Drosophila melanogaster: one gene and its partners. The protein of the gene in region 4 interacts with the protein of the main gene of each other region in a pairwise test. Each region holds a gene or a part of one and is shown on either strand. Other genes may lie near its edges. The genes, in order: CG4073, CG31365, RIC-3 and CG11379.

What was found.
Region 1: the proteins of CG11379 (region 4) and CG4073 interact in a two-hybrid assay, tested with the Drosophila melanogaster proteins (one large-scale study listed by BioGRID).
Region 2: the proteins of CG11379 (region 4) and CG31365 interact in a two-hybrid assay, tested with the Drosophila melanogaster proteins (one large-scale study listed by BioGRID).
Region 3: the proteins of CG11379 (region 4) and RIC-3 interact in a two-hybrid assay, tested with the Drosophila melanogaster proteins (one large-scale study listed by BioGRID).

Annotation. Positions count from the first base shown.
Region 1 is NT_033777.3:10,711,703-10,718,028, forward strand, and holds CG4073 (uncharacterized protein), read left to right. Parts: upstream 1-3,095; 5' UTR 3,096-3,228; coding exon 3,229-4,110; 3' UTR 4,111-4,199; downstream 4,200-6,326.
Region 2 is NT_033777.3:23,121,974-23,129,705, reverse strand, and holds CG31365 (uncharacterized protein), read left to right. Parts: upstream 1-3,283; 5' UTR 3,284-3,363; coding exon 3,364-4,444; intron 4,445-4,510; coding exon 4,511-4,644; intron 4,645-4,704; coding exon 4,705-5,409; 3' UTR 5,410-5,744; downstream 5,745-7,732. Other genes in the region: hh (hedgehog), read left to right, coding at 295-968; CG31457 (uncharacterized protein), read left to right, coding at 1,926-2,601, 2,661-2,998; CenB1A (centaurin beta 1A), read right to left, coding at 6,077-6,263, 6,319-7,473, 7,535-7,693.
Region 3 is NT_033778.4:21,014,574-21,025,285, reverse strand, and holds RIC-3 (RIC3 acetylcholine receptor chaperone), read right to left. Parts: upstream 7,503-10,712; 5' UTR 7,334-7,502; intron 7,142-7,333; exon of another isoform or gene 7,018-7,141; intron 6,555-7,017; exon of another isoform or gene 6,528-6,554; intron 6,224-6,527; exon of another isoform or gene 6,204-6,223; intron 6,128-6,203; 5' UTR 5,900-6,127; coding exon 5,704-5,899; intron 5,547-5,703; coding exon 5,427-5,546; intron 5,200-5,426; coding exon 5,045-5,199; intron 4,294-5,044; coding exon 4,153-4,293; intron 4,096-4,152; coding exon 3,969-4,095; intron 3,786-3,968; coding exon of another isoform or gene 3,765-3,785; intron 3,401-3,764; coding exon 3,153-3,400; intron 2,953-3,152; coding exon of another isoform or gene 2,911-2,952; exon of another isoform or gene 2,824-2,910; intron 2,222-2,823; coding exon of another isoform or gene 2,121-2,221; intron 1,853-2,120; coding exon 1,700-1,852; intron 1,625-1,699; coding exon 1,532-1,624; intron 1,311-1,531; coding exon 1,161-1,310; intron 1,104-1,160; coding exon 969-1,103; 3' UTR 368-968; downstream 1-367. Other genes in the region: Sou (souji), read left to right, coding at 8,086-9,384; CG9346 (uncharacterized protein), read right to left, coding at 9,706-10,098, 10,159-10,520, 10,581-10,712.
Region 4 is NC_004354.4:1,176,574-1,183,166, forward strand, and holds CG11379 (uncharacterized protein), read left to right. Parts: upstream 1-3,591; 5' UTR 3,592-3,690; coding exon 3,691-4,296; 3' UTR 4,297-4,978; downstream 4,979-6,593. Other genes in the region: CG14627 (uncharacterized protein), read left to right, coding at 5,529-6,341.

The DNA of each region.
Region 1 (6,326 bases), on a different chromosome or scaffold from region 4:
AGTAACAGTGTAGTCTAGTTATATTCAAAGTAAAAATATTTTTGAAGTGTTATCATAAATGATATTTCATTTCAAAATTTAAGCTCAGATGACAGATAACTTTTTTTCATTCACACTTTTTAAAATGGCCCCTTATTATCACAGATAATTATTTAGTGAATGCCTGTTTACGCTTTTCAAGTGACACATTAAGTGGTGCTTTCAAACTAAATGAAAAACAACTTGGTCTTCTAGATAGAAATTAATGTTTAGTTCTTTCATCTTAATGAACTTAACTCGTTGCAAACGGATGATAGAAGGGGCTCAACAAAGGAGAAAAGAAAAGGAACCATAGTTATTTGCACCATTGTTTTCTTTGACATGTTGTCAACAATTCCAGGACTTGTTAAAACGCCGCTGAGCACTTAACGCTTGAAAGGCTCACATAAAAATAGGTGGACCATCTGCCTTTTAGCTTGAATATTTTCTATGTCCGGAAATTTTTTTATTTTCTGTACATTGGAAATAATAGTTCTAGAAGTTCCTGGTACAATTCACACAGTCCTTATGAATGTAGAACTGGTTTGAAATTACTTGGAAAAGGACAAGGACAATTCCCAGCTGCTTCTTGTTCTTCGGAAAGGGCTTAATATGGACAAAAAAAAAATATGTTGGACGTAGTTAAAGAAAACCTTAAGAGGGAAACGAAAACTGAAAAAATCATAATGAAGAAGTGAAAATACAATGAGTTTCGCTATTCCTTTGAGAAAAAATTCATTACATAGGAAATTTATATATTAATTATAGCTATGATGTCATTCATATTGCATCATCATTTGTTTAAAAGTAATTTATTGTCTATTAATTATGTAAAAATTTAAAGGGGCGGATTCCTATGCACCTTACTCCCGTTCTTATACAGTAATTTCGAAGGATAACTGCTTAAACAAACGTTTGCGATTAACATGCGTTAAGTACACAATTTCAGTTACATATGCATAAATAAGCATTTAAATGCGCCATGCCCCCCATGCGTAAATAATTTAATTGCATGCGAGTCGTCTCGAGTGTTGGCATACAAAATAAATTGCAATTAATACTCGATACGAAATCAACAGCCAGAACAGGTGCTAAAAGTTGCCTTTAATCATATTGTTAAATGTGGAAGCCCGTGTCGTGGCACATCACGTATACGCAATGTGGTGCAGAAGGCAACAGCATTTAAGCCAGAAAGTCACGAAAAGGGAAGGGAAGAACAGGAGAGGCGTGAAAATCTGAAAGAGCTGGAAAACCGGCAATAGCAACAGCTACAGAAACTCATCCAGATGTAACTCCCTGCTTTGTCGCCTGAAATCGTGCTTTGTCCTTCGCTCCGTTCATCTGGCTTCTTGAATGGCTCAGTCGGCGGCATTTATGGAAGTCTTGGTTTTTGCCTCGGCCTTAGGCAGCTCCTACCATCGTTGCTAAATATTTATTAGCCCTCTGATTTATTTGTTCAATTGCATGTCGCACGGTTGGAGGGCCACGGTATGATTTTGATGTAGGTACGTGCCACATAAGGCATATTTAATGTCTTCCCCCACCGAATGGTGTTTTAAATTTAAAATTTTTGCCGTAGGTAAGTGCTTTACAGGGCTTAAACATTCGTTTCTATATTTACCGCAAATGTCCTGCTTTATTTAGAAATACGATTTTAAATAATTAACCCTCTTTGAGCACACTTGCCCGGCTCACATGTCTCTAATAATTTCCTTCCCATGAATACTTAATACGTAGCCCTATTATTAACTTTCAAGGCTAAAGATTTGACAAATGTAAGCTGACACCCCTGATTAGATAGGGGGAATGCTTAGTGCTTATTAATAGAATGCAAGTATCTATTAAGTATTATTGTTGCTCAAATGCACAAGGATCTGCCAGTTCAATCAATCAAACAGACATTATTGATGGCACTTCATATTTCGAGCCATTGTCATGACAACCTCAGATGGACGTTTTAATTGGTTGGATAAGTAAATTACATTTACATTTTACATCAATTTTCTGCGGCATTAACAAGGTTGGTTTTTCAATGAAAGCATAAATAAAACATAAATTAATAGATCGAAATGGGAAATGTACGTATTGATACTAATTTATATAGCTGTCACATATGTATTCTTAAATGTATTTGCCTAAGGATAAATTCAATTCTTCCGCTTCAATAAATCTGTTGTACAGTTCACAGCTAAATTCAACTCATTCGAGCGTCAATAAAATCCGATTGTCCTTCTAATTGGATTTACTATGACTTCCTTACGGCACTTTGCCGTAATTTGCCATTTGTTCGTGTTGTGGTTTTCCTGGCTATTGGCACTGTCAGTTTAAATCTCTTAAAAGTTATTGTTGCTCTGAGTGGCAGGCCGATTGATAGGCATTTGTAGGATTTTTAATGCCAAAGCTTATTATGACAGCAAACTGGGGTAATAATATCGAGAATGCCCAAATTTCCTGATGCTGACATTTGTGTAAGCACGGTTTTAGATAAATACGCATATTGTCATCGATTATTGAGGATTAGAGAGCAGGCGAACAAAGCGCGATAATCTCTGACTCAATAACATATTCTAAAGAAAGCTAGGTAATAAGACACCACTTGGTTTCCTCTCCTCCAGGCAAGTTTTTTGCCCGACTCATGTTTATTTAATTCCTGACTTTGTTGTTTGGCTTTAGGCTGTGTTTGCCAATGTTTCTGCACGTGCTGGCTTTTCAGCGGCAGAGTCTAATTAAAATTCAGTAAAAGCCTCAGCCACAAAATGGCCCAAAAAGTTGGCCCTCAGCGCACACAGTTCGCCAGAGCTGAATACATATGTAAACACATCATCAGGTGCAAGGTGGGCCATCTTAATGAGTCTAGTGACAACGCAGCACGTGTCATTGATTAGCACTTCAGTTCTGGCCAGCATAATTCCCATTTAATATGCATGAGTATGCATATACTGCGCAGTGGTTTCATTAACAGAATTATACATCCAATCGATTCGTTATTCCATCACATATCAACACTAAAAAGTATCAATCATTTAACTGTATTAGTTTCAGTAGAAAAATTCCAATCGTTTATTTCAGTAGATCTAAATTGTAACATAACACTTTTTGCCCACAGTACACCCACCGCCTTGTTAATCAAATATATTCATATTTAATATACATGTTCATAGCACCCAGCAGGTTCCCACAACGGGGGTGGTGGTATCAACGCGCAGAAAGATGAGCAGGCCAAATCCCACGCCACGTTCATCGACGGGTCTACGCAAACCGACTGGTCAAAGATCAACACCTCCACCCAGGCCACCACCTCATGTTCCCGCTCCTGCTCCACCACCGCATGAGCCTGCGAAACCATATGGAGAATCCCCGGGCCTGCTGAGCCCGGTCGCATCGTCGGGTCCTTTGCGCCAACGCTCTTCTGTGCACCTGAGGAAGAAACACCTCGGTTGGGTCTACTTGATCCACGCGGTTCTATCGGCAAGTGCAGTAATTCAGCTTGTGGTCCTGCGGCTCTGCAATAAGGACTTCGGGGAGCTAATTAGCCCATCGGTGCCCAGCTTCGTGTGGCTGCTCCTGGCCGTGGGATGTGTGCTGATCATGGCCTACGTGTACCTGGCCAACCAGTGTCCGTGCAATGGTCTGCTGGCCATTGTCATCGTGGAGGTGATAGTGATATTTGTGAATTGCCACCGGTGGGCTCGTCTATCGATGCTCTGGATGACTGGTGTCCTGTCACTCGTGCTGGCCCTGAACGTCATGCTCTACTTGATGGGCGTCTATCTGCCGCTGAAAATACTGCCCGGTAGCATCTTCATGATCGTCCTCACATTCTGTTGCATAGCGATTGTCGTTTCGATCTACTTGATTGTGTATCTAAACGGCAATCGCTATATAATGCGATACGTCTCGATGGTCAGTCTGATCTACGTGGCTAGTCTCATCCTCTTCACCATCACCGTTATCCACCAGCGAAGATTCGAGCATACGGATCGCACCGAATATGTCCTGCAGGCCACCGTTCTGGCCATGCTGTTCGTCTATATGATTCACCCACTCTCAACTATGGTGCGATTTGGGCAGTTTTTGGTGGACCATGTATAATATAAAATTGTTGGAAGTGTATCATCATCTCTAATATAGTCTTAAGAAATGTAATATTGCCCAAATTCCTATATATACATATATATTGTAGCTTATTAGGTGGCTTTATTATTGTTAGTTTTAACTGGTTAACTAATAGCAGCAGGCTTATACAGTTCCGTCATGCTTTTATAGTTCCGTAATTTTTTACAAATTTATTCTTATTTGCTGACGTGTGCAGTTGTTTTGACCAACATTGGCAAGCCTTTAGGCCGCCGGGTTCAGTTCGGAATCCGGTTATCGAACTCTCATCCAGAAGGATGTTTGCATGTGTATTCATGAAGTGTGTATGGGTGTAGTTGCTCTTAGCGACAAGATCCTTTTTGTGGCCATTTCGTGTTTTATCTAAGTCCTTCTAGCCGATTACACAGACAGCCGGACAAAGGGAAACGGAAAGGACCCGCGGCAGAAATGAAAATAAATAATACCCGGGCCCAGCCATATTTTTATGAATTTTTCCATCTTAGCCCTTTGCAGTGCAAGGATATTTTTGGATTTGCCTTCGTTTGTTCACTTCAATAATTCTGAAATCATCCATATCCTCTCCTAGGGCCACTCAAAGTTGTATTTTCAGTTTGGGTTCAACTTATGTTAATTTTATAAATTCCATTTCCGTTGAATCGCTTTTAACTCTTTAAAAATAGTTTTCCACCAGCAGTGGCAGCAGCAGCAGGATAATGGCCTCCAGAGGGGCTATTTTCACAGACGAGAGTTTTAGTTGTTTACTGAACCACAAGTTGGACATTAAAATGCAGTCCAAGGGCAATGTTTTTTTTTGCCGGTTGTGGATGTAAAACAGTGCGGGCTTCTGTGAGTCCAAAACATGCATAGTATTTGTATAAAAGGTCTCGAAATTGTTTTGAAATAAAATGCTGTTTGTCTGCGACTGGTTTTTCATTGCCAGTGTTTAAATTTAATGCATAAAGTTAGTTAAATTTAAAATGTGGTTTAAGTGTATAATACTCTTAAGGGTTAAAATTCCTTGGTTTATATTCACCAATTAATTAAACAAAAACATCGTCCTTTTATGGTAAGCTTATTATTCATTATAAGTCATGAAAATAGATTGCCCAAGGTGGACATAAAAAGTTAGGTCAATGATTAACTTGACATCAACATGGTCGTTATAATCATCAAAGCAATGTGCTCCATGAGCTCAAATTAATCATTCAGCTGCAATGAATTCTTTGTCTCGAACCTTTGTTCTGCACATGTGACATCTGTGAAATTCCGTACATTTCGGTTCAAAAACCCATTTTCTCCGCTCCATTATGCAAAAAGTTTTTTTTTGCGGCTGTTCCTTGTGTCTCCGAATAACGAGAAGCGAATCAGCCGAGACATCAAATTAATTCATAAAATTGTCCATTTGTCCAACATATTGTGGCCAAGATGCCGGACGGATTTGGTCGGAATCTACGGCAATTAGTTTCACAAGTGCCGGACTCAACCATAGGGACCGTGTCAACCAGTGATGCGAACAGGTAATTTATAAAACATGCTAAAAGAACATGGTTATTGAGGACAGCCTCACTTTTATCCCACACATCGAAGCCAAAAGTCAAAAAATTATTTAAAAATCTTTAATATAACTTCATCCTGAAAAAAAAAATTTCCACACTAGTAGTGTTATGTTATGTTGCCAGATCCTCTGCTGCAGGATTTTTTTTCCCTATGACAACGCTTAGGATTCACCGCTAGAATGCCATGAAATCAACATTGCGATATAATAAGCCAACGGCAGGAAGATGAAGTATGGGTGCACAACTTGGATCCCAAGAGGCGGATGCCATAAAACGTGGAACACGTCAATAGTTTCCAGATGTCTGGCGAGGGCAGGACTTCGAGGAGGGGTGTTGTGCTCATGTCAAGTTATGGGTCTGGATGAATTGAAGAAAGTTGCCAACTATTCGACAAACGTCGGAACAGAATTCCTTGAGAAAGACGCAGTAGCTGATAGATGAAAGTTGAAAGCCACTTTCTCCCTGGGGGGCTTTAACTCCGCAGAGAAACTACTTTGACTTCAAAAAGTGTATCTTTAAATCATTTACATAAGTTATGGCAAGCTCCATAGTAAAATGTTTGCTTAATATTTTTAAAGAAAGTAGGCACACACCATATGAATCGCTTGGGGCTTGCTGTACCCACAAGTTCTTGGTGATAATTTCATTAAATTTGCG
Region 2 (7,732 bases), on a different chromosome or scaffold from region 4:
GGATCTGTGAAAACCTTTTTGACTTGTTGGGCTTGGCAATTGGATGCTTAACGCCAAATTAGATTAGCAAACTAATGCCATTACCTGGGCGGCTCTCAGTAACCAAACAAGCAATCTGCAGATCAGATTTTAGATTGTGTAAAATACATGAACACCCATGCAAGCCTTTAAAGTAATCGTGTAACTACTCTGGATACGAATATTTATTATAACTTTCTATGAATATTTAAATAGCACCTTATATTTATTTAAAATCCAATTTTCTAACCAAATTCTTTCCTCTCCTACTTGCAGATTCGTCGATCAGTTCCCACGTGCACGGCTGCTTCACGCCGGAGAGCACAGCGCTGCTGGAGAGTGGAGTCCGGAAGCCGCTCGGCGAGCTCTCTATCGGAGATCGTGTTTTGAGCATGACCGCCAACGGACAGGCCGTCTACAGCGAAGTGATCCTCTTCATGGACCGCAACCTCGAGCAGATGCAAAACTTTGTGCAGCTGCACACGGACGGTGGAGCAGTGCTCACGGTGACGCCGGCTCACCTGGTTAGCGTTTGGCAGCCGGAGAGCCAGAAGCTCACGTTTGTGTTTGCGGATCGCATCGAGGAGAAGAACCAGGTGCTCGTACGGGATGTGGAGACGGGCGAGCTGAGGCCCCAGCGAGTCGTCAAGGTGGGCAGTGTGCGCAGTAAGGGCGTGGTCGCGCCGCTGACCCGCGAGGGCACCATTGTGGTCAACTCGGTGGCCGCCAGTTGCTATGCGGTGATCAACAGCCAGTCGCTGGCCCACTGGGGACTGGCTCCCATGCGCCTGCTGTCCACGCTGGAGGCGTGGCTGCCCGCCAAGGAGCAGTTGCACAGTTCGCCGAAGGTGGTGAGCTCGGCGCAGCAGCAGAATGGCATCCATTGGTATGCCAATGCGCTCTACAAGGTCAAGGACTACGTTCTGCCGCAGAGCTGGCGCCACGATTGAGATGGAATCCTGGAAGAGCGATCCTGATCCCAACGATCCTGTATTGTATTATATCCTGTAGTTATGTATATGCCTAATGATTGATGTATTTCAATGTTGAATATCGTTAATAATCGATCGATACTATTTATTTACCACCACAAATCAAAAACCCACACACAAAACACCCCACCCAAGCGATAAAGCAAAGAGCAAATGAGTATGAAATCAAAACGATGCGAAACGAAATGAAAACACTGTTAAATGTCCTTGACTTATTGTTTTTGCAAACATTTTAGCTGTAAGTAGGCAATCCTCGGCGCAGATCCTAAATCATCCTGAGAAAATCAATCGGCAAACTCCCGGAGAACACAGACGACTGTTACTGTATATTATCATGGAATTGAATTGCATAATTTATTGAGGTGCGGCGGCGAGTTCAAGCCCTTTGATATAATATATATCGTACTTTGTATATAGAAGAAGCATTATAGTGACTGAATATCTTATTGTAATTGTGTATATAATACTTAATAGTTAACTGCGTATTTATACTTAATATTTAATGAAATATAAAGAAATTGTTTGATAAATGAATGTGTGTTATTGCTGCATTTCAGGTTATTCAAATGAGCGCTATAGTATCGTTGTAAAATTTTGACTATTTGAAATTCTCCCGCCAAGCGCCTTGCTGAAATACGGGCACATCAATGGCAGAGCAGCCAGCCTTGAAATACTAAAATGCATTCTCTCAACCGCATGGCCACACTGAAAATATCGATAACAAATCGGCTAGACTTGTTGATGTTTCCTAGTAGGAAATTCCTCCGCTTCCAATTTTAGTTATTTGTCTTCAAATGTTTTTTTGTTTCATATTCTAAACTGGTTGCTTGGAAAGATTGCTAGATTGTCCATCATTCCGAATCGTGCCTAATCAGGTGTCCGGCTGCCACGCTCCGAATTGCCTTGAAATTCAACATGAATGTTTGTCGCCTGTGCTTGTCGAAGGAACCCAATTTCCCCGTTTTCGGTGCAAATGGATCGACTGCTCTGCAGATAATGGTCTGCACATCGCTGGAGATCGAGCCCGGCGACGGTCTGCCACAGCACATATGCACCATGTGTCGGCTGCAACTGGAGGAGATGCACTGCTTCCGACGACGCTGCCTCGCAGCCGATCGCAAATTGAGGCGCCACAAGGCGTTGCAGCGGCAGGGTGTCAAGTCGCAGCTGAGTGAAGTGGAGGAGGAGCGGGGCTCCGGGGAAGGATGCACGCAAACTGGCTGCGCCGAGAACAATGCCCAGTGGCGCCAGCAGGCCGCCCAGCTCATTAGCAGCGAGATCGACGCGTATAAAAAGGAGCTGCTCAGCACTTGCAAGCAAGCTGTGCGGGCGGAAATCGAGCTGGAGCTGCGGGCGGAACTCGAAGAGGTCATCATACCCGAAGCCAAGCAGCAGTTGCGACTGAGCGTTCTGGACGACGTGTTTGTCGAACTGGAACGGTACTTTGTGCGCAAGCGCAATGAGGCGACCTATGAGATGAAGATGAACTTAAGCAGTCCGCTGCCTGACGAACAGACCGCTGGCTTCTACGAAACAGACATGGGCCAGGAGCTAAGGGAGCAGAGCGATAACAGCGTGGTGGAGTTACTGGGTAAGACCAGCCCACTTACTTTGCAATTGCACGACTTATATATTTCTCAAATGTAATAGACGATGAACCAGAAGCCAGCAGACAGCCAGCTGCAACGCCACTAGTTGCTGTGCCCATGGTTGAGATCAACATGAACGACCCGCAGCTGAGTCATCTGCGCAACGACTATAGCAAGGACACCTTTCTGGGTGCCAACACAACTGCCTTAGAGGATGTAAAAACCCCATCGCCGTGTCGAAAGAAAGTGCGCTTTATGAGCCCCAAGCAGACGACCGATAACCTGTGCCGAAAGCACAGTTCCTTCAAGACAAAATGCAGCAGTTCGTACGCCGATTTCAAAAGTTGTGTGCGCTGTCGTCTAAGAGGAGCGGATAAGCTAAATAACACCGTGACGTAGCCACGTAACAACGAATTTAGTTTAATCCTCTATATTATAAGAATAGTACCTTTTTTTGTGCACGCATATTTGACTAAGCCATCACCTATTTTAATTGTCATTGTATTCTATTAAACTTTAAATATGCACATTCGGTATGCATTGGATTTGTATGAAAATCAATACCTTTAAACCTTACATTAATAAATTAAGTTATGATACGTTTATGGGCCGTATATATCAAATTGTTTATTTACGAACAGTGTGACTGTATTGCTTTCGTTTCGAGAGGAGGTATTTTTAGCGAACCTGTCTGCGGTCACATTGCTTGCGATGCAGAGACGCCACCGAGTAAATACGTTGATTTACCAAAAATAGACGCCTTCATGGATGCACAGCCGTCGTATCCCGATTTGGCGACCCTGTGCCGCCTTTGCCTCAAGGAGCACCAGGATGCGTACGCGATCTTCGACGAGGACGACACCCAGCTCTCGATACCCGTGCGCCTGATGGCCTGCGTCGCACTGGACGCCAAGGCGACGGATACTCTGCCGAAGAGGATCTGCCAGGAGTGCCGCTATCAGCTGGAGAAGTCATTCCTGTTCCGGCAGCGCTGCCAATGGGCGGAGAAGAAGCTTCGCAAGCATATCCGACTTCTGGGTCTCGGGAAGCGAAGCCGCGTCTTCTCCAAGGATCCGGACGATTATGACGAGGACGAGCTGGAGTTCGAGGACTCTATTGCCTTCATCGAGGTGCAGGACAAAGTGCGCAAGCTTGAGGACGAAAAGTGGCGAGAAGATTTTAAGGAAGAACAGGCGGCGGAAATGCACAAACGGCTGGTCAAATCTCGTCTAGAACTTCGAGCGAAACTGACCACCGAACTGCGCAAGGAACTAGCGGAGGAGGTGCGCAGTGAGGTTCGCAAGGAGCTGGCCGAGGAGGTGCGCAGCCAGGTTAGAGATGACCTGCGAAACGAGGTGAGCGAGGACATAAGAAAAGAGCAGCTGGCCATGCTGTTGGGCGAATTGGAGGTGTATCTTACCGAGAAAAAGGCCGGTCGGTGGGAGTCTTTGGATGGGTCCGAACCAGAGACCAAGCCGCAAGTCAAGGAAGATGCCTCCCCTTCTAGGTCAAAAACTAAAGCTCTTCCAAAGCGACGACCCAGCTTGGTCGACGCCAATCTAAAGGCGACAGAGGCCAGGAAGGATGCAAAAGAAGAGGAATTCATATTGGGCTGCAATACCGACCCCGCAAATAATAGCGATGTAAACATAGATGGCCTCGAACTGGACGAGGAAGTGCCCGCGGAAAGCGGTGAAGACTTCAGGGAAATCAACATGGTTGGATCAGATGTAGTGCACACAGACAATGGAGAGATTTACATCATAAACTCTGCCAGCTCAGAGGATCAAAACCAGGACTCCACTCCCGAATTTGACCAGGACAACGGAATCACCTCCTATAACAGTAAGTGGGTATAATTTGGCAAAAAAAATGTGAAAAAATTTTCATTTCATTAAATTCTTTGCTTAGTCAAAGAAGACGGCGAAATTCAGTTCAGTGGCGAAAAGCCAGAGGAAATCGAAGACGTGGTCGTGTTTAATCTGGGCGAGGAGATATCTCAGGAGCAACAGGTCTTCAGCTTCCATGAAAATGTCATTATAGTGGTAACTAACCGTGTGATTTTAAATTGAACTCGAATTCAACTTGGATCTTATTATCTGTAGGAAAAAGAACAGAACGATAGAGATGAGCAGACGCCCCTCAAACGAAAGAGATCGAGTGAGTTGGTGTTCAAGCAGGAGTCCAGTTGTCCTCAACCAAAAACCGGTCGAATTACGGACACGGTGAAGTCGTTCCAGTGCCATTTGTGCCCGGTGGCATTTCCTACGCAGAAACTTCTGACGCGCCACCACAACACCCACATTAAGGGACTGAAAAGTGGAAAGGGCGGCACGCTCAAGTGTCCCAGCTGCGCACTGCAACTGTCGTGCGCCAGCTCGCTCAAACGCCACATGATTATCCACACGGGCCTGAAACCCTTCAAGTGCAGCGAGTGCGAACTGTCCTTCTCCCAGCGCGAAGTGCTCAAGCGTCACATGGACACCCATACGGGAGTAAAGCGCCATCAGTGCCCCCAATGCTCGAGCTGCTTTGCCCAGAAGTCCAACCTGCAGCAGCACATTGGCCGCGTGCATATGGGCAACTCTCGGACGCACAAGTGTCATCTGTGTCATCGTAGCTTCAATCATGTTTCGGGCCTCAGTCGCCATCTGGTCACCCACGCTGGCGTCATGTTCTCCTGCAAACAGTGCGGCCGTCAGTTTAACGATCGCAGTGCGGTCCAGAGACATGTAACCACAATGCACAAGGTGAAGAACAAGCTCACAGACTACATATCCGAGACGAACGAGTTTCAAGCTGTGGCCTAGAATAGTCCCTGGACATGTTTTACCAATACACCGCAGATTGGACCACCATGTTTTACACCTGAAGAGACCAACTTTGATTGATCTGAATATTTTACAACTTTATTCGCGAACCTAGAGTGCTCACAACAGTTGGCACCAAAAATCATCAACATGATAGCGTTAAAACATTTAGAAACATGCAGCATTAAACAGTTTAGCAAACAAATACAAATCGGAACATTTGGAACAGCTCTGTAACAAGATACATATAGCTAGACGTACATTTTACAATATCGTTTAATAAATACCACATAAGACGATGTACAATTTTATAGGCAAATATACGTATTTTTAATAAACTCAACTGCTCTACGAATACTTTAAACTTAAGCTAATCGCCAAAAACGGATTCAAAATGCGCCTAAGAGAAAACGAACGATCGTGCCTGCCATTCGAATGCCAAATGCAATGAATAATATTTTCTTGTATAATCGGAAGCGCTTTTCAAATGAGATTACCAAGGGAAACAAGCCCGCAACGACATCCTTAGAGGTCGAAACCGTTTAACATTCCTGGTTAATGCGTTATAAAGCCAATAACAATCCAATATCACGCTATCCTAATAATTGGAACAAATTATTCCATAATATCCAGTAAGGTCCTAACTCTTGCGGCCCTTCTGCCACTGCTAGTCGGAGTTTGTAAGCGAGCTGCGCTGCGATTCGAGTGTATTTGAGTCGTGCCGCTGGCGCAGAACTCGCGTCTGGCTGGCTGGTAACTTGGAGAAGTCCTTCATTACGTTCTTGTACGTCTCATCTTCGCCATTGTACTCGTCGTTGGGTCCAATCTCGTCATTCAGTTGTGTCAATCGGAGTCTGAAACAAGAATGGTTATGTATCTGCCGGATTGAAGCTCTGCTTTCTTACTCACAGCGTTACAATGTCTGCGTTTTCCTGGTCCACTGCAATGTCCAGAGCCTTCTTTCCGTCACTGGAGGAGAGGTCGTATGCAGCTTTATGCTTCAACAGCAAATACACTTGGGCGATGTGACCCTTGGCCGTTGATATGTGCAGGGCGCTGTAGCCCATCTCGTCCACAGCATCGATGGCGGCTCCGTTTAGTAGCAAAAACTCGCAGGCCATCACGGAGCCGGAAATGACGGCCTGGTGCAGAAACGATCGTTGCCGGTCTTGGGGATTTTTCCACATCTTGTCGGCACCCAATGCGAAGGCCATGCACATCACTGGTAGATTGTGCACCACCGAAGCCATGTACAGCAATTGATTGGCGTCTAGCTGGGAGAAGGGCAGTTCCTCTGGCGACTCCGCATCTGACTCGCCATCGGTGCTCTCTTGATCGCTGCCCAGAATGCCGGGAGTCTCTAGTCTGTCAAGAGCCAGGTCATCGCCGATCACAAGCAAATCGTCGCGTGAAATGCTTAGTGACATCGAGGGAATGTTGATGGATTCATCATCATCGTCATCTTCCAACTCGTCGCCGGTTTTGGCTGTGTTATAGATGCTCGGATCATCGCTCAACGTTTTTGGGATCGAGCGCTGCTTCTGCCTTCGTCGAAGTTTCTTCACCGCCCACTTTCGCGTGCCGCCCAGCGACAGAGTAGCTCGCTTAGCGATACCACTGCCTCCACTCTCGCCGTCCTCTACCACGCCGCCACTGTCTATGCTCAGCACTTCGGCTGTCTCGCTGGCCAGCAGCTCCTGCGGTTTGGGCATACCGCAGACGAACCGCCGCTCCACGTACTTCGCCTTGATCCAAGCCTCGCGCACTCCGATCTCGCACTGCTCCGTGGGCTTTTTGAGCCCACAATCATCGCCGATGCGTGCCTCATAGATGCGGTTAACCACCTCGTTGCCGAGCTCCATCATTACCTTCACGTTCTCCGACTCCCAGGCATCCAGCGTCAGGGAACGCACCTTGCTGTAGTGCACACCCAGGCTTCTGTGCACTCCGGAGCACTCGATGCACAGGGTGATGCCCAAGTTAATGGAGGCCCAGCGTGGTTCGGGGCTCCTGCAATCGCAACAATATGCGTTGCCCGGTATCTTCAGGAACTCTTCCCAGTGGCTGAGAAATGGGAAATAATTCATTATTATAAAACTGGATAATACGGGTGATTCAAACATACATTCTACGCTTTGCGGGCAGCGAATTATTGGGTGCGTTCGTCGATTGTGGTCGCGAGTGATGCGTGGAGTCATGCTGGATGGCAGCACCGATGCTGTGCTGTAGCGCGGAAATCCACAGGGAAAGCATGTCAGCGGAGTCAGCCTGCAGGATGTGAGATCTAAAAAAAAAGGGGAACAAATGAATTCCTTTGTCTGAC
Region 3 (10,712 bases), on a different chromosome or scaffold from region 4:
GGAACACCCATTGTGTCTCCAGTCACAAGGAACATTAGTGATTGTTCTGTGAACGCTATCCCTTAGGAGCATGGCTAGTGGTAAGTTGCGCAGAATTACTGTGGAATATACAAAAAATTGCTAACCTGCCGAAATTTACGTAATTATTGTGGCGGAGATTGACAAAAAACAGCTGTTCGCCAGTGTATACACACGAGCAGAAGGAAAAATTCACTCTTTGTGCTGTAAGGCGCATTCTGTTAATCAAAATGTTACAGCACTGTTAGTTTGAAAAACTAATTTTTTAGAAAATTATAATTGGAAAATATTAAGGAATGAAATTTCATTATAACTATGTATTAATTTAAAATTCAAAACACATGTGGATGTCAAGTTCGGTTTTCAATTTATTCATTATACTAGGTTCACAAACGCCGTGGCACTAACTTTATTTGTTTAATCATACGATTTACGTGCGATCGATTGGATTTTTTTTTAAGGTAATTTCATTGCCAAGTAGCTACGGATTTTGATTAGACGATGCGGCTTGAAATACATATGCGCTTAGCTTAATGGTAGACTAGTTTTGCATTGACTTTCAACTAAGAGTATTCACACAAAATCATGCAGTTCACAAAGACGCGGTTTTCTAAACGAGCTAAAGAGTTTTCTAGACATGCAAGTTTGGCTTTAAGTTTTGACCGAAAATGATTAAGGTTTTCAAGAGCATAAAGTTTTAAGGTTTACTTTAGAGGGAGTAGACACAACGTTGGCGTTTTAAAATCAAAACGAAGATATCAAAACATACAATATGTATATATATACAAATCAGATATCAAATTATTGGCAAATCTGTTTCGTGGCAATCAGTCATAATGTTCGTCGTTCAACGAAATTAGCAACGAAATTTCACTCGGCCCTTGCAATTAGTTAGTTTCGTCTGAATCAAGTCGTGTTCATTGCCAAATTATATATATATAAAAATCGATCTACTGCTCGTCGTGTCCAATTATTTCGATGTCATCAGCCAGAGGACTTTCCACTGCGGATTTGCCTGCATTTCCATTTTGTTGATTTGCGTCCAAATTAATCAATGACAATGTCATTCTGCTGCTAAGAATGATCTGCAAGTTAATTAAGTTAATTAATTGATATAGTTTAGTAGAATGGCTTATCCATACGGCTGGTTCCTCGGCTGAGCCATTGAGCTCCGAGTCGTAGACTTCTTCGCGTTTGATCTGGGAGTCGGCAACCAAAATCTGGGACTCATGGGCCAAAGCGCCTTCCAAGTAAATGGACTGCGGCTCCGGCAAGTTGTCTTCCAATTTGGACTGAAATCGAAGAGGGATTCTATTTAGTATTTCTGATATACATATTTAAAAGCTTCAACACATATGCGCAGAGGAGGTTGAGAGCGTAGGAAACATCCCAGTTTAATCACTTTTTTTTGTAGGGATATATTGAAAGCGTTAGGGTAGCAGTTAGTCGAAACTAGTCTAGTTAAGTTGAGAACTTGAAAGTGGTGGGGGGTCTGTGCGTCAGTGGCACTTACATGTTCGCTTGGCGCTCGGAAAACAGGCGTTGGAGGGCGTCCAGTCCACTTGTGGCCGCCCTCGCAACTGGCTGTTAACTCCATGCCGAGTACCTGCACCAATATTCGATTATTTACGGCAAAGATCTACGTACTCAAAGGTGCTATACAGGGTATATAATGGCATACCGTCAGTTCCTGTTCAGCGCTTAGATCCCGCCGTTTCCTGGCTCCCTTCGCCACGGTCTCCTGCTCCGGATTTTGGTCGGTGCTGCTTGCATGTCCATTGGATAGGTTCTGCTTGTCTAGTGGTTGCTCCCTCGTTTTTTCGTTGTCGTTTTTCTGCACAGGATACACAGGATATAATACGGTTAGAGAGGACACTCTCGAAACAGTCAGTAGAATGTGAGAGCTAAGCAATTCTATACAGCCTCAAAACGCAAGAAATCAGAAATCGAACGCATTAATTACTTCAATTCGTTGTGGTTAGGTGAAACGCAACAAAACTCAATTAGTCGAAGGATCTTGGTTAATAAACAAAAAGATTAAGTTCTTGTTACAAATTATATGTTCAAGGATTGCCGTGCCGGACCCTTTGAAGGTCTCTAACCTTATTCGAATCAGTTTCAGTGTCGCTCGTCGCCCTCTGCTTGTCTTGGCCATTCAATTGCTCGTCGGCCGCGTCTATCAAACCTTGTATGGCCGTAACAACTAGCCCCATGAAAGTACAGGGTATCAATTTGGGATTTACATTCATTTTTTTTTTTGTGTTTTTGCGAGAAACATGAAAAACGTAGAAACGACACAGAGAGTGAATATTTATATAGTTGTTTCTTTGTAGCTCTGAGTATGAAATGATGTTTGCGATTATCTTTATTGGCAATGTAAAGTTACGTATAGTGTTCGAATAGATTTCGAATAAGACTGCTTTGAATCGTAAAATATGTCCCCATCATAAGAGTTTAGTTTAGTTCAGATCGAGAGTACTCAGTGAGATGCAAACACATTTAGACTGGGTTCGTTAGTAGATACGAGTATGTGAAAAGATATGTTTATATATATATATATATATGCATATATCGCATGCCGACAGCAGACAAGCAGGTTAAATTAGAAACAGAGTCGGGAGAATTCCGTTCCATGCACTTGTTAGACTTGAAGATTAAGGACAGAGTGACATAGTTTTAGAACTGAAGGCTTTTTTTGGGGGGGAGGATGTGGCAGGGGGGTAAAAGAAACCATTCCGAGGATTCAGCTATTCACTAGAAACCAATTGAAAACAGAAATAATCTAGTTGACTTTGTTCGTTGTACTTAGTTGTGATCTGAGTTGTTGTTGGTCTGATTTTGGTCTGTTTTACTGACTGATTCTATGTGAACTGAATGATGGTTATTATTGTCTTAGAAGTTTGGCTGCCGCTTGAGAAACTTGAGGGCAATCATCTTGAAAATGAGAACACAAAAGAGATCAAATATTAATTCAAATGACAGCGAGATGGTCCAACTGAAATCACTACGATATATGATGTGCTACTAGATGTATCTGAGTCGCGTTGTATAGCTATATCTGTATCTGTATCTGCTTTTTTCCGATTCGATGACGATGGTAGGAAGCTACTGGATACTGGATGCTGGATGCTAACCTTTGCCTCATACTGATCGGTGTTCATTTCGGCCACCAACTGGGCCATCGCCCGCTCCGTGCTCTCGAGTTTCTGGCGCAGCTTCTCGATCTCCATCAGCTGCTCGGCCTCCTTCAGCTGCTGGTGGCTCTTCAGAGAGGCGGACAAACTGCTCGCCACCTCGGTGGCCGACACACTGGCGTTGTACAGCTCCTTTTCGGTGTCCTTGGCGGCCGGCTTCTTTGCGGCGGCAGTGGCGGTGGCAGCTCCTATAAAATTGTCGTACGGTTTGGTAATCAGGGCCGGAAATCGAATCAATCGAGGGACTAACGAAACTAAGGAGTATTTACACGGGTGCAGGAGTGGCAACAAAATAAATGTATATATCCATGGAAGCGTGATCAATTCGGGGTTAGTATATATATATATTTATAAATAGTATATAGGCACACAACATCTAGAATGAGTACATCTAGGTAAATGAAATAGAACACATAGTCGCTACGATACTACGATACCAAATGAGGAGGACATATTTCAAAACTCAAAAGGCCTTTGTCGAGGTCTAGAAACTCAAGATACGAACGAAACTCTATGGTCATCTATGCAACCATCTATATATATCTGGCTTACTTGTCTGATGCTCTCGCCAGCCTGATACCGTGGCATGATTTTCGGTGTGCATGGGTTTTTTTGGAAGCAGAAGAGTACAAAATGCGATTTTTTTTCGGTTAGGATTGAATCGTGAGTGCGGTGGCTAGAGCGATTGTGTGTGTGTGTGTCCAACTACGAGTGTAATAATCCGGAAGATGGCATCCGAATTGGCCTGGCACTCACCCAGTTTGCTGCCGCCCAAATCCTCCACCTGGCTGTGGTTCTGTGATCCGAAGACCTCCTGCCGGAAGGCAGGATTTGGAGGCGCCGCTCCGTACGGATCATTGGGAACTTGCTTCTTGAACATAATCTGCATGTAAGAGTTTTATAGTATTATAATTACATATATACGATCAAAGAGAGTCACCTTCATTAGGGTGTAGCCGAAGAAGACTACGATGCCAATGGTGTAGAGTGGCATTAGGAAGCCCATGCTGCTGCCCCGCTGTTGTGGCTGATGCAGTGCACCGGCGCCCATGGGTGGACGCATTCCAGGAATGGGTCCAGGCTAGAAAGTACATACATATGTCAAAAGTTACTGAAATACAATAGAATGCCGCCAACAATCAAGGTCATATTAAATGTATCAGGTATACGCCCCGGTGGTTTCTTAAGTCAATTGTCTTTAGATATTTTTGAACTGATCGAATATGTATATTCTATTGTCCTATGTAATCATAAAAATTACGTATCCGCCGCGATGTATATTGACATAAAGATTACTCAAGACAGTTGTCTTCGAAATCTTTTGAATTGATGTCTTTGTAGGAGAAGGGAATCGATTGTGTTTTATTGACAACCCATGTAATCATTAAAATTACGTATCCGCCCCGTTGTATTTTGACATGAGGCGAGGACAGCTGATTTGTGCTCCCCGGCCATTCTAGCATTCTAGTAGCGATGAGAGCAAAATGGAACTGGCGCACTGAATTTGGCACAAGTTCAATACGCAGCAGCACATTCGGCCGATCTCCCACTCATCATTTACAAATTCTTTTTTTGTGTTTTCTTTAGCGCTGTCTCTTGCCTTCAATTTGCGTGCAGTGTCATAAAAACAAAACCCGAATCCGAATAAAATAAACGTTTGGCTATTTATAAATGACTTCCAACGCGAGCGCGGATATGTCTCATCCCGCCGTCATTATAATCACATCGACCACAGCCCGCCGACCAGTATAACTATATATATTATAATTATGGATTTATCGTCCGGAGAATAATGCACACCGTATGGTTAAATGTATAGTAGCCCAACTCACCCGTCCGTCGACAATCCGCGGAGGCGGATTACTGGGCGAAGTCTTTCGTTCTAGAATCGGCACGGTGGGCGTGGCGGGAATGGCGCGACCCCGCTCCCTCATGGCCTGGTATATGGATTCCGGATGCAGGTGGGCGGGACGCTCCTGGCGCAGACCTGCGACCACAATGGATTCATTAGTAACACAATTAAACTATCAAATTTTTAATTGACATAAACACTACATTTTAGAAACCCAAACATTAATAAACTCATTAATACCGTAAAGGTTAGGAATCTAAATGTATCTCAATCGATTGTTTCATGTAGATACAATCTTGTTAGTAGAGCCAAACACCGTTAGTAAAACCAATAAGCAAATTATAAATAATCGAGCCACATACTTATTTCGCCCGTGTAAACATTGATTTGCTTGCGATACAAATGCGGACCGAAGGGCTCGACAGTGTCCTTCTTCGTGGCATTCAGAAACTGCTCCCTGTCCAGGACGACATCACAACATCCTACAACATCGACCGGACAACAACAACACCCACATACGGAAATCAAAAGAAAATCATGATGATAATTCATAAATAATAAATGATAAATGAAATTAAGTAAAGTACAACATTTATAAGCCCTAGCTCCTAATGTGGTGAATAGAATCTGATGACTTACCGCCTGGTGCTGCTCGTGGATCCTTGAAGTTTGGCTGGCTTGGAGGCACTCCTCCGAACATCATGGGATGGAAGACCTTTGGCCACAGGATGGCAATGCATCCGATCACGGTTACGATGATCAGGGCGGTCTTCTTGGGCGTCATGCCCTCCTCGACGAGCGGAGCTCTCGGCTTGGATGTGGCTGTAGCGGGCATTTTGGCTTGGTAGCGGATTCCGTGGGCTATCTGGATTCGTTTGGCTATGGGTTCGTGGTTAAAGCTAGTCCCTAAGGCAACTCTGCTATGTGTTCCTGATCGATTTGGTTCGTTGATGGCTCCCTGCGAGCTGTTGACTATGCGCTGTGTTTCTAGTTGCTGTTTAACTTTGGCATTGGCTCATTTTGGCTGGCTAATGGTTGATTTGCTGTACGTTTAAAGCATTATCTGAAAGATACATAGATGCATAATCGGTTACACGCTACAGTTCGCTGATTCCGGCTTTCGTTGGAGTTGTATTCACATCACTGATCGGTCACGAATCGCAGCGCAAAATGCTGTATACGTTTGAATATTGTTGCGGGAAAACAAAAAAGTTTATTACATAAATAGCGGTCCCGATCTTTTTTATTTTTAGCTCGCGCAATTCGCTCTTTTCGGCCCGTCTAATAATTCTTTATTATTTTCACTTTTCCCACCGCACAAATCACAATTAACGACCGCATAAATAATATTGAACGTTTCTCCAAAAGAAAATGCTTTCGTATCGCTTTTGGAAAACGGTTTTTGAACGACCAAGGGTTCGAAAAAAAATGAAAACAGAAAACTGGACAGAGCGACTGCTTACGCAAAGTTCGAATGTTGTTCCCGAACTGGCCAGGCAAATTTTTGAAACTATTAGCGAATTTTCGGCAGATCAGATCTGAAGACCCGACACACCATTCGGGCGCGCTTTTCCCCATAATCGTCGTCGGCCATTATTTTCCTTTATTTTTGATGAGACAAGTGATTTGCAGCTTGGGCCTGCACCGGGAATTTCCGAGAGCTACGCTACAGCAGCCGACATAACATTAATGCTCTCTAATTCATTTCGGAAATAGATTTTAAATCAAAATACATATAACTGCTTGGGAAATTGGGCAAACTTAATTTGAAATATTTCAGCAAAAAAATTTTATAATATAATTTTAAATTTAATTTTTTGAGCTATTGCTGCTGTTTTGCTGACCAGCACTGTGTGCGAAATTTCGTGTTTTCATATTTTTCATTTCGCAGCTTCTTCGCTCTTGTTATCACACACGCACACACACACTGCCAAGTGCTATGAGTTTTCCGACCGTTTTCCATTTCGCTTTCAAGCGCACTGACTGAAAAGTGGCGAAAGTAAAATTGTTTTTACTATGCACGTCTGTTATTTGCACAGCATCTTCTTATTTCCACCACTTTTATTTTAAAAATTTCCCTCTTCTTGTCACTGTCTACATTAATTTGGAAAACGTTTTTCGAGCTCTCTGCGCTTTTATTTTTGGAGGCACAGCATTTGTAATTTGGGTTCAATGCCGTTCGGCTTAAGACTCATCACTTATTTTTAAAAATTATGAATTCAAAGTGTGGAGATTTTGTCCTTGGAATTGCTCTCGTGTTCTGAGGTACCTTTTAAATAATTATCAGTTTCGTTTTTAAAGACTAACACCTTTGGTTTCAAAGTTCGTTTTCTTATCTAATTACGCTAATTTCAAACTGTTTGTTTGTCGTTATAAGTTTCTCTGCCAGAAAGCAGCAGCAATAATAATTGATTTTTCAGTCGACCGAACGGAGATGGGCAGCATTGGCTGTCAATCGATGCATGCGAGTGCTATCGATACTTTTCTATCGTTTAAAGTTAACGGATCCTTTACACTGATAGAAGGCTTATGGGATTTAATAAATTTTTGTATATTTGTAATTGTTTTAAATGGAATCACATTATTATTAATATATAAAGGTCAAATATATATTTGGTTCGTAAAATGGTTACTTTATTATGCATTATTATGATGTTAAACTAGACTAACTATATATAACTAAGGATCAACTAAGGATCCAATATAACGGTAATACGTAAAATGCGGAATATACAAATATTAATTCGCTCAGCACTGTTGCCCTTTATCGAAATTAAAATTATTCGATTTATCGATAGCATCGTGAGTGGTCCACCCAGCTCCAATGTTTTCGTCTTCTTTGTGTTATAAAATTAACAATTTATAAATACGCATTTTCCGCTGGACCACCGAATATCGTCGTGACTTTGAAGAATCACAGTGCTATCAATCCTCGAAAGCAAAAGGTTGTAAAATCGAAAGTGAACGCGCGCCTGGCGTGACTGGTTTCTAGGCTTTCACCCCACGAAACTGGAGCTAACAATGGACAGCGAGTCGTTGGCCTGTTCGTCGGTGGAGAAGGACCTGACCCGAGTGGTCAGCAAACTGGAGCAGCTTCACGAGAACGCAGAGGCGGACATCGGAGATATAGCCACACAGATGTCGGAGCTGGTAGAGGTTCTCAGCAGGGCGGAGCAGCTGGTGACCACTCTGAACTCGAGCACCCAGGTGTCCCAGGACGATCCCATGGGCGATGCGGTGAGCATGCAGGTGGAGACGGAACCGACGGCACCACAACGCCTAACCGAGCGCCAAGTGGAGAGCGTCCGGAATGCTCTCGCCAGGTGCCACGAGCGCGTGCAAAAACTGTCCACGGAGCACCGCGATCTGCACGGCTCCATTTCGAAGATCGGCAAGGCCATTGACCGCAACTTTAGCGCCGACTTCTCGTCCACCATGCGAGTGGACGTGCTGCAGGACGAGGAGAACCTGATGTTGCTGAACAAGGCCATTGCCAAGCATTATTGTCGCCAGGGCATGGACGATGTGGCTCGCACGCTAATCCGCGAGTGCAAGATGTCGCCGGAGCATGCCCAGGATGTGTTCGACTCGGAGCGCGAGTTTGCCGACATCTACGGCATTTGGGTGAAGATCCAAAAGCGGGATCTGACTGACGCCCTCAAGTGGGCAAAGATGTACTCCCAGCAGCTGAGTGACCGCCACTCGCTCATAGAGTTCCGGCTGCACCGCATGCGTTTCATGCAGCTGGTCTCCTACGGATTGGACTCGCAGCGCGAGGCCATCTCCTACGCTCGACTGAACTTCAAGAAGTTTGCTGTGCGCTATGAGCACGAAATAGCCAACTTGATGGCCAGCTTTATATATCTGCCCAGTGGACTGGAGAACTCGCCTTACAAGCACTTCTTGGGCCAGGAGAAGTGGACCGAACTGTCGTTCATATTCCTCAAAGACGCATGCCAACTGCTAGGCATTAGCAAGAACTCCGCCCTGTCTGTTGTGGTCAATGCCGGATGCACTGCCCTGCCCGCCTTGCTCAATATCAAGCAGGTGATGCAGTCGCGCCAAGTCCTTGGCATGTGGAACGGCTGCGACGAGTTGCCCATTGAGATCGATCTGCAGCCGGAATTCCGATTCCACTCGATCTTTGCCTGCCCCATATTGCGCCAGCAGACTTCCGAGGACAATCCGCCGAAGAAGTTGACCTGCGGTCATGTCATATCCAACGACGCCCTGCACAAGCTGAGTGTTGGCCACATACTGAAGTGCCCCTACTGCCCCGTGGAGCAGAATGCCGAGGAGGCTGTTCGCATCTACTTTTAAGCCACATCTATGTATTCACCTTATGATAATCACCACTGCTTATATGACCAGGCTCAGGCGGTTCGAGGACTGGTGTTGGTTGGCCGGCTTTCCTTAACAAAACGTAACCATTTTAAGATAGCTTGCTTAGATTCATGTTTTTAGACAAATTCGCAGAGCGGAATCGAACTGCCTGGGCCGTCTGTTTTGCGTGTGTCCCACTTCCTAACAAACGATTTAGATTTAAAATTATATATACTGTGTATTTAAAACAAACGACGAAAGTGTTTTTATGTAGAATCCATGTTTAATTAAATACAAATCGTCCGAAGAGCAGACACTCTAGTGCCTATGTTTGTGCTTGTGCTTGTCGCTGCGATGTCTCGGCGGCGATGGCTCTTCTCTGCGAGAGGAGCGCGAGGAGGTTGGAGAACTGCGTGATCGCGACGATCCGGAGGCAGGAGTTTCGTAGCGGGAGCTGCGAGACGACCGCTCTGTATACCGCTTCGGTGAACTGGACGGACTACGCGACCGATTGCGTTTCGAGGATTTGGATGAGCGCGAGGTTTCGGGTGAATAGTCACGTCGTTTGGATTCGCCACCAGAGAACGGCGAGTGGGATCGTTTGCGGGAACTGCTTCTGAACAGCGCTGGACTCTCACTCACCTTGGAGCTCTTGGATTTTATGTGCATGTAGCTGAGCGGGGAGTCTACAGTTGCCTCAGATCGCGAGTCCTGTTCGTTCGCAAAGAATTCAGTTGTTACATCCGACTTACTGTATGTTACAAATCTTACCTGTTTAAGTAATCGCTTCCGGAATTGTTCCACTTGTTCGGGGACACTCCAACCTGGTTCCAGGCGGCGCTTTCCGGACTCCAGTTCGTCCTGGTACTGAATTGCTTTCGACTCAATGTCTCTTAACTTCTGACGCATCTCGTCGGTGTACTTTTGCGGATTGTCTTCTCCACTGTCGTCGTCCGAGCTAAAGAACTTCGGTGGATCTGGCGGATCGAGAGTGTCCCATTTGCTGGTGGTAATCGCCTGCGCTTCTACTTGCTGGGGATCAACTGTCTCCCACTTTGAGGGTATGAAGCCAGGCAACTTAGCCGTAGATTTGGTTTCTTTTTCCAACGGTACACCGTCGAGATCATCATCCACTGGAATTAAGGATTATTTACTTAGTAGTAAGAAGGTTTAAATCACTTTCTTATGCTTACATGGTATGCCATCGATTTCATCGAGGTATTCATCTTTCTTAGGTGTGTCACGCTTTGGAGTACCAGCATCTGCATCAGGTATGGCTCGCTTCAAGGCGCTCTTAAGCAAAGCAGCTCCATCTAGTGGCACTC
Region 4 (6,593 bases):
TTGCTTTATTGACATTGTCACCCCGGTTGAGCTCAGCTTGTCACATTGAAGCAACGAGCACCTGGACAAGGACAAGGATGAAGTCGAGGGAGATGACTACGGACTCTGGACTACAAATACCTCGGTAACGACAGGATAATAAAATTGTGAAACAACTTTTTAATGAGAAACACTTTTAGCACATTGCAGTGGCCAGTGGACGGATTCCCGGTAGTTGGTAAAATGTTGCTTCCGAGCCCCAATGACGGTTACCATAATGATGATGGAGTAGAAAACGCTGATAGCAGTCGACAGTTCAGTCTGTCGGTCCAGGACGCTGGGCTCACCTGTTGACGCAATATCAAACACCAAGTATCCACTTTTTGCGATCGATTCTCGCGCGGCGGAATAAAATCTTTTTCGTCGTCTGGTGAGTCGGTCTGGCTTTAACAATGAACATTTTGCGCCGCACTACTTCAAAACTGCAAACTTTGCGCCGTAATTGCCCAGAAAAGTAACACAAATGAAACGCATTGACGCTTAATTACTTTTGCTAAATGGCACGAGCCCGCCAGCCATCCTCCATCCTCCATCCCAACCCCTCCACGTCCTCGTCCTTTAAAAGTACTTTTCAAATGGAGTGGGCGAGGCAAACAGAAGGGAAAACGAGTGGGGATGGCCTGAAGGTGGAGCTCCATTTGCTCCATGCGGGTGTTTGGCTTCGGTTACGCTCATTTCTCAGCAATGCTTCGAATTTCCACAGAGTCTGTCTATAGTCCCCTCCTGGCAATTTACGGCATTCACTTGCTGACTGACAACGTCCAGAATGGTTGCTGCCACAACGCGTAACGAATCGTAATCAATGATTGCATTATGATTCATAAATGAAGCCCTAATTCACGCGCATGCAAGCAACAACTGTATTTACTCGTAAATCACTCGCATATGCATAGGTCATTAGAAATAATCTGGATCATATGTAGATACAATATTGTTGGAAGCGGGAAGCGGGCGGGTTGATATAAAAAAATATATATTAATTTATATTATTGCATCATGGTACTTCTAATACGGTATCTTTTAATTCCGCACCCCAAAACACATTCCCCTGATTGCAATCGTGCAGCGTCATGAACATGTGAGGCCTTCAGGGTGCTGCGAGTCGGCACGATTTGACTTTTGTCGACGTCACAATTTGGAGAAGTTTACCCACTTCTGGCGCCGCACAAACTTGGCCCAAAAAGTTGCCCTGCCACTTGGCAAATGCAAGTTTTTGATTAAAAGCCACCACCGCCTCCTGTTCCCACTTTTTTAGTTCCCAGTTCCAGCAGCCAGCAAAGTTGTGTGCCAGGTCTAGGGCCGGAGAAATTGTTAATTGAATGCATTTGGGGTCCTTGCAATGTTTGCCTGTGCGTGATATGGGGCTCTTTGCCAAGAGGGAGCAAATGAAGAAGCAGGCTGAGTTGGTGGCAGGCTGGAGGTGCCCAGGAGCAGCTGCTTCCCAGCTCGAAGTGCTCGCCTTCTCCCACTTAGCCAAAGTGCGGCGCAAATGCTTTGCCATCACTTGGCTAACAGACAAAACAGTATTGGTAGCGCGTTGTTTGCTAGGTGAGTCAAATGCATATATTATGCGAACAGTGTTGGTCCCACACCAGACCAGTGTTGAATAACTGATTTTCTTCGTATTTACAAATTTCTATTTACCCACATGTTCCACACCTCTCAGTGTTGCCGAATCATAGTGCTGATCCCAGAAAATTGTTGTGAAGGAAGCACAAAAGGGTCATTTAATCGCAATGTGGTGGCAACATGTGCCCCAATTCTGGAAACATTTTTGAGGCTACCTAGAGAACCTCGAGAGCATCCCCATTCCTCCCTAACGGATTTGTACAGGTGGTTGGGTGGTTGGTTGCATTAAAAATGCATTGGCCAACTCGTTTATTGTTGCTCCTTGGCAGAGCTTTGGTTTACTTTTATTTAGACGAGCTATTCGCTGGGAGAGCCTGATGATGCAAGCTGCAGCTGCAAGGATTCCACTCCATTTTGGGAGACACACACTTTTCATTAGCTCAAAGGAAGAAGCATGGATCGGAGCTCAGCTCAGGTGGAGAAGGTAAAGCCCTTAAAGTTAAGCGCATGGGAGCGGAACAAAAGTTGCCTTAAAGTCGTTGCCAGTCAATAATGACAGAGGATCCCAGAGGATAGGATGCCGTTTGGAAATGGTAAAGCGGATGCGGACGGGGATTCGAATCGGTGCTGAAGCTTCGGCCACGCCCACTCCGTGTCCGTGGGCGTGGCAGATGAATGAGAGGAGCACAGCCCCCCGAAACCCCGAAAAGAAAAGCAGAAGCAAAAGCAGCTGCAGATTTTCTATAAAAGCCGAGGCTAACGAGATTTGATGAATTGCAAGTCTTTGTGAATGAAGCTACAAGAAAGCTGCAGCATGAATAGCCCCGAGGCACCGCCAGGCCGCCTCCCACTCCTTGCGCTTTTCCATCTAACCCAGGTCCACATAAAAAAAACCCATTAAGTGGTTTAAAGCAGTGAAAAAGCGCACAGCACACAACAAGCAACACAGCAAAAGAAAAATGCAGTTGACATGAAAGCCAGCCAAAACGGGGCGATACAGGGATACAGGGATGGGGGTGGTAGGTCGGTAGGTAGATTGGTAGGTGGTGGAGTCAGACAGATGAACAGTACAGAACAGCACAGCACAGCACAGAGGAGCGGAGCAACAATGCTCACCCAGAGATGAGATAAGAACAGCCGCTGGAGGAGGACAAAGCAGCTTGACGAATTACTTGGCAGCTGCTCCTAGTGAAATCCCTGGGAGAATCAAGGAGCAGCGGGCGGGGCGGGGGCGAGCTGTGCGGGAAAGGACGAGGCGCAAGAAATTTAATTTGACCAACATTTTGATGTATCAAGTTCAGTTGAAGCCGAAGATTTATGACTTGCTGACAGAGCAAGCGGAGCAGCATCACCAGGATTGGGACGTCATGTCGGCAGAGAACAGTGCGGAGCAAGTGCATGCAAGAAATTTTATTCCATGCCAACCAGCCTAATCATTTTATAAATCATCTTGGTTTACCAGACGTACATATATATTATTGTACATATAAAGATCTGGAAGAGCTTATCTATGAGTTTCTCCATGATCATGCTCAAGCTTTAAAGTCCAAAAGTTGGAGCCGCAAAGCTTTGGCCGAAACAAAAATGAAAGTAAGCTGACTACTATCGAGCACATTTCCCATTTCCACTTGCCTCACGTAATGAGCCCACTGAAAATGAGGAAAACAAGGCCTTGACATCTGAGCCTGTTTGACTTGTGGTGATAATTGCAATTGGCGCGGTGTCTGTGACTTCAACTGTGACGCAGACAGTGACTGTGATTACACAAAGAGGAAACCTATGCCATTACCGATGGGGTATTCTGCCACGCAAGAATGCTGTATAAATCATAATATATAAATTATAAATTGAAAAGATAACATCGAATATATTAAATATTGCCTTTAAAAACTTTAACAGAGTTTACAACTTGCTTTTTGTATCACTTCTTAAAATAACAAGGAATACTTGTACACAAGTGTTCGGAGTTAACCAAGTAGTGACTGCTGCTTTAAAAGTCAGTTGAATAATTCAGTTTAAGGCTTTCTGACCCGAATTTACTCCCGTAAAACTGGAAGTGTACACCTAGGAGGACATCTGGAGATGGCTCGACTAATGGCCTTGATCATGGCGGTGTTGCTTCACTCGGTACTGGGCATCTCGTACTACTACTACTTTCGCGAATCTCCCGGCTCCGCTGCTCCTCTCTTGGGCGCCTGGCTCTTTTCCGCCTGCGTGGTGACCCTTCTTCACGGGGTGAGGATGTTTTCAAGTGCCCTGCCCGCCGATCAGCGGTTCAGGAATGGGAATCGAAACCTTCGCGGCAATGAGTCGTCCTGGGCATCGCTCTTACTGGAGACAGGCGTCTGCTGTTTGGTGCTGGATCTGACCCTTAGCAAACTGTGGCATCGCATAGAGTCCCTCTGCCAGTGCGCCATTGTGGGCATACTCCAGGCCTTGGCCGTCGAGGAGCAAACCTTCCTGGTCTGCGAGTACTGGACTTTGGGCCTGACTACCGGCCTGATCGGCGCATGTCTTCTGTGGCTTTCCCTATGGGCCACCGCGTTGCCCCAGAAGCTCCGCTGCGGGATGCTCGACTGGCGTCGCACCCTTCATCGCCGCTGCTCCGCGCTGATCTTCGGAAGTCTCGAGCCCGGCACTCCAATGCAGACCCAATCCCAGGGAAGCGCACAGAGCTTTGCCAATTGAGACGGAGGGGTGACCATTCCACTTCCACAGCCATATCACACTACCTCAGTCAATAGCTAAATTTATGGTTCAAATTATACTAAAAGCGTTTTAATAGGCACAGTGGGACACAACGGGCTGCATCATAAATTGAATTATGAATAACCATAATAGTAAATTTCGATTCAAAGCGTAGTTTCTTTTAGCTTCTTTAAGAAAAAAATAAACTCAAAAATCGAACATATATTAAATCGCAAGACCACTTTCTGACCGAATCCATGAAGCCAATTTGAAGCGGACAACTACCGGCCAAACTGCCAACCACTGGGGGCTGTCATCCCCCCGAAAAAGACTTGTAAACTCGTTAGCCGTAGCCGTACCCATATGCAATGCGGAAGAGGACCGATCCGAGATCCAAAAGCGACACGCCCCCAAACAACCGATTCGGTTTCGGTTTCGGATTCGGAAGACGGAACCCAGCGGCTCAAAGTAAAGCAAAGCAAGTCGATCGAAAGCGAAAACGAAACCATTACTCTGATGCGCGATCGATGGCTGTAAACTTGAACTTGAAGCGTAGCCAAAAGCGATGGACACCACGACGGCAAACAGCAACTGGCAACTAGCAAATAGCAACTGGCAACTAGCAACTTGCAACTTGCAACTAGCGACATGCAAGAGCCTGGCACACGCAACAATGCCGCTGAAATGCTTCCAAGGCAGTGCCAGCCAAATGCTGTTGCTTGCTGGCGCGCTGTCGTGTTTCGCACTGGTTAAAACTGCAGCCGCAGCCTGTTGCCAATTGCGGGAAATTGGTCGGGTCGTCGAGCGATATAAAAGCCTGGCTGGCAATGCAGCCGTGTTAATCAAAGCGCGTCGCTCGCCAGGAAAAGTGCAAGTGTTTTCCACGCTCCCAGGCAGCATTCAAACTCAAATCGCAGAGAAAATTCAGCGAGGTGAAATACGCATACTTTTTTTTTCTGTGCTTATAATAAAATCGAAAGGTGTTCCAAAATATCTGACCTTCGTGTTGCAGAATTAACTAAGCTGCTATAGCAGATATAGTTCAGTTACAAGTGCAGCTTACGATACAATTTTTCCATTTCGGATGCACTTCGCGTCCTGAAAATCAGCTTCGGGTATAAGCAGCAAAATGTTATTTTATAATATCCTTTGGGTTAACAAGTAAAATATATTATCGCAAATATTTTTCATGAACACGATCCCTTAACTTTTCTCTTATTCGCTACGTGTAGATGCTGTGCCACCGACACATTCACATCCATTGCCAGCTGTTCCTGCTGCAGCTCCTGGTGATGCCCCTACTTCAGGGTTCCCCCGTTTCGAGTCCGGAGATAGCTAGTAAGGGTTCCAAGTCCCCGAATGGCCTGCCACAGGTGCAACAGCAGCAGCAACAGCAACAGGAGGCCCACCTGAACTCGCTGAGTGCCTATGCCAGTGGCTATGACATGGCCCAGAACCAGGCTCAAGTCCAAAATCAGCTTCAGGGCCAGATTCCATCACAAACGGATCCGGCATTCAAGCCCTCGTACAAGATGCCCGAGATGGAGACCAACTTCACGCCCATGCAAACGGCGGGAACACCAAGTGTGTCCAGTTTACCGTCTACTCCCATGCTCATGCAGTATCTTCCGGCCCAGGCAATCCAGGATGGATCCGGAAACTCGGTTCAGTACCTTCAGCTGATACCCACCCGCCCGATCATAGTGCCCATTTCGCCGTACCTCTCGGCTGCCGCAGCAGCCAGCGGATCTCAACCTGCAATCTCCGCCGGCGCACAGCCAGACTTCGGAGGACGAACGGCCACTGTTTTGAGTGCTCTGCCGCCCAACTACGCAGCTCTGCAGGGTTACGCCAGTGGGTCCATCAATCCAGCCGCCGCCTTCCGCAATACCTATCGGATCAATCGCGAGGCCAAGGACAAACACTTCCCGCCCTCGTTCTCGCTTAATCTCAACGAGTACTTGCCAGCCGCCTCGTTGGGACTGACCGGAGGCCATGACGCCTCCGTCAATAGTCCACATGTGTATCTGCGGACCAGGTCATAGGATGTCAGCTACCGCCAAAGTCTCGCAACGTTCGAGCCTCTTTTTCTCTTCCGGAATAAAGCCTTATATGTATATATGTAAAGTGAGCCTGTGATTATTTTATGCAAGTCTATATCCCACTCAATTCAATCTAAGCCTTTCCACCTTGAAATGTTACACAATACGATACGAGTACAACCTACCCGACCATCTTGTGATTTTAGAAATTGGTTTTCCCATAATTCAAGAGCCGCGATTAATATAATGGAAAAA